Linked DNA regions of Mus musculus. The main gene of each other region encodes a partner of the protein of the gene in region 2 in a complex. Links are inferred from orthologs where the notes say so. Each region holds a gene or a part of one and is shown on either strand. Other genes may lie near its edges.

The links.
Region 1: Fbxl13 (region 2) and Efcab2 share a complex: the UniProt entries of both Homo sapiens proteins name them as parts of the nexin-dynein regulatory complex. The link is inferred for Mus musculus from reciprocal best matches to the Homo sapiens genes FBXL13 and DRC8.

Annotation. Positions count from the first base shown.
Region 1 is NC_000067.6:178,404,534-178,408,885, reverse strand, and holds the start of Efcab2 (dynein regulatory complex protein 8), read right to left. Parts: upstream 2,869-4,352; 5' UTR 2,784-2,868; coding exon 2,753-2,783; intron 1-2,752. UniProt on the Homo sapiens protein: Component of the nexin-dynein regulatory complex (N-DRC), a key regulator of ciliary/flagellar motility which maintains the alignment and integrity of the distal axoneme and regulates microtubule sliding in motile axonemes.
Region 2 is NC_000071.6:21,617,987-21,621,804, forward strand, and holds part of Fbxl13 (dynein regulatory complex subunit 6), read right to left. Parts: intron 3,531-3,818; coding exon 3,463-3,530; intron 2,779-3,462; coding exon 2,624-2,778; intron 1-2,623. UniProt on the Homo sapiens protein: Substrate-recognition component of the SCF (SKP1-CUL1-F-box protein)-type E3 ubiquitin ligase complex.

The DNA.
Region 1 (4,352 bases), on a different chromosome or scaffold from region 2:
ACAGGCACCTGAAGGATGGAATTCATCACCATTTCTGTAAGAATCCCACATAGGGACATGGCCAGTGTCCATCTTCCTGGCCAGTATTTAATAAAGCTTACTTCAGTTGGACAACCATGGATTCCATCTTCCTCATCACAATTTTCAGGTTTAACATTCACCAGACTACTTTCCATGAAGCAAGCATTAAATATATAAGAAATTGAATATATGAAATCCAGCTTTCAACAGCCATTACTTCCACAGTTAGTTGCAGACTGAACTGTTTTTTCTCCTAAACTTACACTAAACATTAAAATATGTTTTGGAAACTAAAGAAACAGAAATTCTGTCTGTCTCTGTCTCTCTCAAGCAGGGATAACAACTGTAAAAATCAGGCTGGGTGTGGTGGCACACAGTTTTAGTCACAGCACTCACTCAGATGCAGACAGGTGCATCTCTGGGAGTTCCAGACCAATCAAAGCTACAAGGTGAGATCCTAAGTGTTGTGTGTGTGTGTGTGTGTGTGTGTGTGTATAATTTTACATTGTAAAAACTTGCAGTATACTCCAATGCTACCCTAAATAAGTCTTTAACTTAAAAAGAAAAGGAGGGGTCTGGAGAGATGGATATTTGTTCCCACTGTGTTAATAACACCTATTGTGTCTCTAGTTGTGGTGTGTTTCAGCTTTAGCATATGCATTTATCCAAGAGTTCTCTGCTTGAATATTATAAACAAAATTAAATAAAGTCAACCATAAGTTAAGAGGTGGAACAAGCAACCAATTGACAGAGAGTAAACATAGGATTATTTAAAAAAAAAAAAAAAAAAAAAAAAACAATGTCTGGGACACTGGCTGAGGAGCAGGGTCAGCTGGGTGCTTTCTCTGCTTCTCTGAGCTAGCAAACTTTCACCACAGATTCTGGCTCCCGGGTTTTCATTGGTAAAACCAAATGATTTAGATTTTGTTTAAAAAACAAAACAAAACAAAAAAAAAACCCAAAAAACAAAAAAACAGATGGCTCAGAGGTTAGAAGCACTACCTGCTCTTCCAGAGAATCCTGGATCAATTCCCAGAACACACATGGCAGCTCACAACCATCTGCAACTCCAGTTCTGGGGGATCCGACACCCTCACAAGGACATACACAAAGGCAATACACCAATACACATAAGGTAAATTAATTTAAAAAATAATTCATCCCCTAATGATTTTCTCCTTTACTTTTTTTGAGGGGGGTAATAAAAGTATAACTAAAAAAAAAAAAATACTTTCTGGGGAAGCTTTTTTTTTTTTTTTACCTAAAACTTTTTTTTTTTTTTTTTTTTGAGACAGGGTTTCTCTGTGTAGCCCTTGTTGTCCTGGAACTTACTTTGTAGGACCAGGCTGGCCTCGAACTCAGAAATCTGCCTGCCTCTGCCTCCCAAGTGCTGGGATTAAAGGTGTGCACCACCACCCCCGACTCACCTAAAACATTTTTTATACAACATATTTTGATCATATTCTTTCCCTTCCCCCAACACCTCACCGACACTCCCTGCCCTCTAACTTCATATTCTTTGTAAAAACAACAACAAAAAAGTAGAATAAAACCTTCCATTTCTAAAATAGCACCACAAAAATCTTGATACCTTAGTAGAGTTAAAACTCTATACTACAATGCCGACTTCTGAGATTAATTTTACCATCTATAAATCACAGGTCATCAATAAGATCTCTAGCTGCCAGGAGTGGTGGCGCACGCCTTTAATCCCAGCACTCCGGAGGCAGAAGCAGGCGGATTTCTGAGTTCGAGGCCAGCCAGGTCTACAAAGTGAGTTCCAGGACAGCCAAAACCAAAAAAAAAAAAAAAAAAAAAATCTAGGGTCTCAAGTTTCCCTGCTGGGTTCCTGTAATCACCATGACAATGGACTAAACAACTCGTGTAAATATTAGTTGTTAACCTAACTACTGTGTTCCAAACCAGAGGGTGGGGGTGGGGGTGGGGGAATACAAGAGGGAGGGGAGAGAGTCAGCAAAGATGGAGTGTTACTTTCACTTTTTTTGCAATGTTTGCCATTTACTATTTTAGGGCTTGCTTGACTATTTATTTAGCGGTGATGTTGTCAATTTATCACGTAATGGCTGTTGAGTCACAGATCCGATTTTAAGTCATTCGGCTGGGTTAGCAACAATTCAAAAGGTCTTGCAGTTCAACATGAAACATTAGTTTTTCGGGTCCCCTGAGGCCTCTCGGGTACCCGGCCGGTCTGGGCGGCCCGACAAGTCCCGGCTGGGTTTTCTTTAAAGTGATTAAAGTGCGTGTTCCTTATGCAAGGCTCTAGCGCGACCCGGGCCGCTAGGGCCCAGTCTGACCTGGAGGCTGCGCTCCGCCTGGCGGAGGAGGAGGCAAAATGGAGGCGGCTGGGGCCGGGTTGGGCCGGGCTGGGCGGGGTTTCGGCACAGCCGCAGAGGATCCCGCCAGGTTCTAGTCGCAGCTCCAGTCCTCCATGAGGCCGCCCTCCGGGTTACCCACAGCCCACCCAGACCGCGGCTGGCGCCCTCACGGGGAGGGGAGGTGCCAGGGACAAGGACGCCATTATGAACCTCCCCGGCGGGGGCTACAACAGCCCGCGCAGACCTCTCGAGGGGACGGGAGGGCGGACGGTGGGGACGCGGGCTGGCGCCGCTTTTCAGCCCACTGTCGCCACGCCGAGGGGCTCAAGATGTTGGCCGGGGGGCGCTTCCTCAGGCGCAGAGGCGACGTCGTGGCACCCCAGGCAGGGTCCTACCTGTCCCTTCCGCGTCCCTTTCCTCCGCCATCTTGGTGCGGAGCCGGTCGCCCGGGAGACATCCAGCACGAACCCTGCGGGACCCCGCGGGCGGAGAAAGCCCCTGGATGCACGGTGGCCCCCCGATCCCCGCCCCCACCAGAACCGAGGCCCGCGTTCTTTGGGCCTAGGGGCGTCATTTATTAACAAGGCTCCGGAACCCGCCTGGGCCTGATTGTGACTGTCAAGGACGTAGTGTGCCTTGCTTATTTCTTTATTCATTTCTTTAATTACTTATTTTATTCAGCTTTTTTTTTTCCCGGCCGTCTCAGGTGCGCCCCAGAACCGGGCGCAGACCTGGCGGCCCCTTACACGGTCCCTCCCCGAAAAGCGTCCGCCCACCCCAACCCCACCCGAGCCAGGCCTTGTGGCTCTCTGGCGTCACCCTCTCCTGAGCGGAGCCACTCTGCCAGTCACGGAACTGGAGCGAAAACGGACATGGGCCAGTGCAGGAGGAAGCCCAGCCTTTCCCCGGGATCGCAGAGAGAGAGAGAGAGAGAGAGAGAGAGAGAGAGAGAGAGAGAGAGAGAGAGGACTTGCTGTAGAAAAACATGTGCAAAATAGGCGCAAACACTGCGTCGCCAAGGCTGCAATTTCTGATACAAAATAGTGTTCTCATAGCAACAAATAAATTGACGGTCTGTTCTCAGGGATACACACATTTTGTATGTTGATGGTGCAATTTGGCATGACCTTCCGATGAGAATTTTGAGTACTGAGAAACTTGGCTATCGCGTGTTTTGTTATTTGATGGATAAGCTCAGAATACTAAGATTCTCCCTTAAATGAAACCCCCCCAAAACAAACAAACAAACAAACAAACAAAAAAAACCCAACAGTTTTGAAATGTCTAACAATGTGACTCAAATTAATATCTAGTTTTAATCTTTAATGATAATTTCATGGTATATGTGTACTTATTTAAATATTTTTGTAAAAGTAACTAAATGTAGAGGCCTTTGTTTTGTCTTGATTTTTCTTTAATATAGTTATTTATTCACTTTACATCTCAGTATTTTATTTTTTATTATTAGTTTTTATTCATCGAAGTTCTGTAATCTCAGTGAATGAACCCTCAAAGCAGGCCAACTGTACTCTTCATTAAAATATTTTTTTCTATAGGCAATAAAGATTTGATGAAGTGTCTAACTACAATTTGAATAATCAGAAAATGGTGCATATCAAGCAAATTTCCCCAGCACTCAGGAGGCAGAGGCAGGCAGATTTCTGAGTTCGAGGCCAGCCTGGTCTACAGAGTGAGTTCCAGGACAGCCAGGGCTACACAGAGAAACCCTGTCTCAAAAAAACAAAAACAAAAACAAAAACAAAACAATAAAACAAAAAGAAAGAGAAAGAAAGAAAGGAAAAGAAAGAAAAGAAAGACTTCCAAGATGAACTCAAGCATACAGTAAATTAATCACCCCAAAATATGGAAGAGTAATTTATATTAATATTTTATTTATTTTATATTAATATTTTATTTATTTTATATTAATATTTACATTCTGTGTGTTCCCCTTACTCTCCCTGAAGATGAAGGACTTTGTAGCAAGTATGGGAA
Region 2 (3,818 bases):
GTACCTGGCTGCAGGCACTCTTTTTTTCTCTCTGAAGTTGAGGTTCAGAGTTTGTGTTAGCTTTTTATTTTACTTCACTTTTCAACTAAAAATGGGTATCTGAATGGTGCATGAATACTTCTGACATTTAAAGTTTGACAATGCTGTTTTTCATTTGAATGTTATGCAAACAGAACAAAACACAGCAGCTAACAGTGTTCAGCATCACAGGTGAAAATTTAAAGCCTTGTTTGTTTGTTTGTTTGTTGCTATACCTGCCAATGGGTTGGAACCTCACTGAACATCATAATTTTGTTCTAGAATCTAAGCTCTTTGAGAAGCCAGAACTCTACTAGTTGAGTTAGGCTGCTGTTACCAGCTGAGATGTGTATGTGCGTTCACAATCCCACATCTGCTACACTCTCATTTCTTCCACTCATTTTCATTTAAATGCTTTTTCTTGAGTTGTTACCTATAAAAATTATGTTTCTATACATGTAAATGTATACAATCTTAGCTTGTATCACTTAAGTTGTAATGAGTATGAAGTTAGAACATTCTGGAAGGAATGAGCGTGGTTTCTTTTTTAATTCCTCATTTTTATATCACTTACTATTACTAGATTATATATCTTCTAAACCAAATTAGAATATTTCTTAGACATTTAAGACATCACATGATACAAGTATATTATAAAATATTCAAATGCTATAAATCTATGCTATTATTTGTTCATTTTAAGGGTACTACTTTGAGAATCATATTTTAGACTTAATACTTGGAAATTCTGACAATAATCAAACAAAACTTTAAGTTTTTAATGATTGAGAGTTAAATGAAACAAATGTGCTATGACGTGAGGGTAGAGAAGGGGGAACAGTGTCAAAGAAGCATCACCATGTAAATGTAACTCGGGTCGTGTCTTAGGATTATGTAACTAAGAGATCACATGACCTTGGGGTTTTACTTTTAATGTATAAGAAATGTATGGATGCTTTGCCTGATGTATGACTGTGGAGCTTGTGTATGCCTGGTACCCGTGGCAGTCAGAGGAGAGGATCAGATAGATCCCCTGGCCCTGAAGTTAGACGGTTGTGAACTTCCATATGGGTGCTGAGAATTGAGCCCAGGTCATAAATCTAATATATAATTTACAAATGTGTGACTGGTTGTTGTGAATTAGGGAAACATAAGATGACACAGGGTAGACAAGGGTTCCCCCAAGGGTGTAAACTACAGAAAGGAAACAGGTGGGGTTAAGGACAAAGAGAGCAGAGAAAGGGGACAAAGGAAAAGGGAGCAAGGCCCCATGTGGTCTCACCTCAGTGGGGGTGGGAGTTTCAGGAGGCACTGGCAAAGCAGAGAAGAGATGGAGCCAAAGAGAAGGGAAAGGCCTGGGGAAAGAAGAGCGTGGAACAAGGAAGCAGGAAGCCACACGATGGGCCATGGGCGGGTGAGCGGTGCTGAGACAAGAACCCAGAAGGGCAGAGAAGACAGGAGGTTGGTCCAGCACATCCAGACTCTCTAAAGAGCTTGCAGTTCACTCAGGATTTTGAAGAGTGTCCTTTCAGACTACAACTACCTTGTGGCAGGCTAGCCATAACCCTTTGTTGGGTTTATGATAAAACTTTCAGAGTTCACTTTGAGGCAGAGACAGACTGCACAGCTCAAAAGGAAATGATTTCAGCTGGCTCAGGTGACTCACACCTGTCATCTCAGAATGCCAGGGCTGAAGCAGGAGGATTGTCCTTGGCCATCCTAGGCTACACACTAAGACCTTGTACCAAGGGCAAGAGTAAGATCAACCAGACTTTTCTGATTTGGCACAGCCATAGGTACAATTTAGAATCCAAAAAGCTGTGACTAAAAGGCAGGCGTCCTCTGGCCCTGCTAAGACCCCATGTGTGTTGTCCATGCATCACAGAGAAAATCGTTTTCTTGAAGCTTCTTCACCTGGAACATCACATCAAAGGAAATGTGTCTAAGGAATGCAGGCTTTCTGTGTCAATGTTGGTTTCTAATGAGTATACACTATTGGCTCTGTATTGTGTGTAAGAGCTGGAAGTAGTTGGGCCTGGTGGTACAGGTTTGTGATCTCAGCTACTGAGAGGCTCACATGAACAACTTAGAAAGACTTTGTCTCAAACTTAAGAACAAGAGGGAGTGTGTGGATAAAGCTCTGTGGAGGAGTGCTCCCTTAGTTTGTACAGAGCTCTAGGTTCAGTACCAGGCCAAAAAGGCAGCAGTAGATACTTATTTATATATGCATGCATGCATGTGTGTGTGTGCAAGTTCACATATGATTTGATTTTAACTGTGAGCACTTTCGATTGCAATAAAATATTTTAAAATGAATCTAACAAAATCATTAGGTTGTGTTATTGTGTTTTGTTTTGTTTTGCTTTGCTTTGCTCTGTTATGACAAGGTCTTACTCTACAGCCCAGGCTGGCCTTGAACTCACTGCTCTGTCACAGTGTTCTGAGTTCTGGTGGGCATGCGCTGTCACATGTACTTTGAATTGGTCCATTTAATAACAGTTCTCTAAACACTAAACCTATTCTTGAGGCATATTTTTAACCATTCGGTCATTGACCCACTTCATAATTAAACCCCAACACTATTTGCTATGGCCGAAACATTTACTTATAAGTCTTTCTCTACTCATAACCGTGTAGGCGAACCAGCGATTAAAAATGTATTTTTGGCATCTAAAATTGTCATGTGCTATTGCCTTGTCCATTTTTTCAGCCATGATCTCCTCTTGATTTGCACGAGGTATTGCAACTTTTTTCCAACCACTGCAGGCAAAAGATACAAGAAAGATACTACTTTCAAAATATTACTTTGAAACTAAGGTAATATAATAGTAAATAAATTAAGAGGAATAAGAAGTGAGATTACTTTTATCCCCTCAAAATCACAGCAAGAAAAAAAACCTGTAAATTGGGGATATGTCTTGAAGAATTTCTGATAGTTGCCAGGGAGGGTAAAATGCTACATGGTAGTCATATTTCCTTTTTAATAAAATAACCACATCTTGGGATAATATTATTATCATAACTTAAATATATGCAGAGAATCATCTTTAATGATGATTTCAAAAATTTAAAAAGGCCGGGCAGTGTTGCCTTTAACCGAGTATTCTGGAGCCAGAGGCAGGTGGATCTCTATGAGTCAGAGGCTAGCCTGGTCTACATAGTGAGTTTTAGGCTAGCTAGGGCTACATAGTGAAACTCTGTTTTGAAAAAAATAAAAAATTTAAAAAGGAATTTCGGTTCCCAAGCATATCCAACTCCAAGGATTTTTGACACGTTCATTTTTAGAGAAGAGGTGTTGTTACTAAGTATAAACTCATCAAATATAAACAAATCAATAAATGTACTGGAAGCATGGGTGGCCTGGAGTGGGCTTTCCTATGCATGGAGAACAGCAGGGCTAAAGAAGCAAAGAAAAAGAAATACTATGTAAAATCACATTCTTACCTGAAATGTGTCTTTACTAAATGTCCAGTGTAAAATGTGCATGCTTTTATCATCAACTCTGGAGTCACCTAAAGTAAAGAAGCAATTAAACTATTAGAAATAAATAGGGCAAAGCTGAGTGTCAATAGCACACACCTAAAACCCCAGCACTGCGGAGGTGGAGAATCTCTGTGAGTTCAAGGCCAGCCTGTCTATGTGGTGAGTTCCAGGCCAGCCAGGACTACACTGGGAGACCCTGCCAAGAAAGAAAAGAGAACCAGGCGTGGTGGCTCACGCCTTGAATCCCAGCACTTGGGAGGCAGAGGCAGGTGAATTTCTGAGTTCGAGGAAAAAAGACTGGCAAGGAGCTGGGGCCA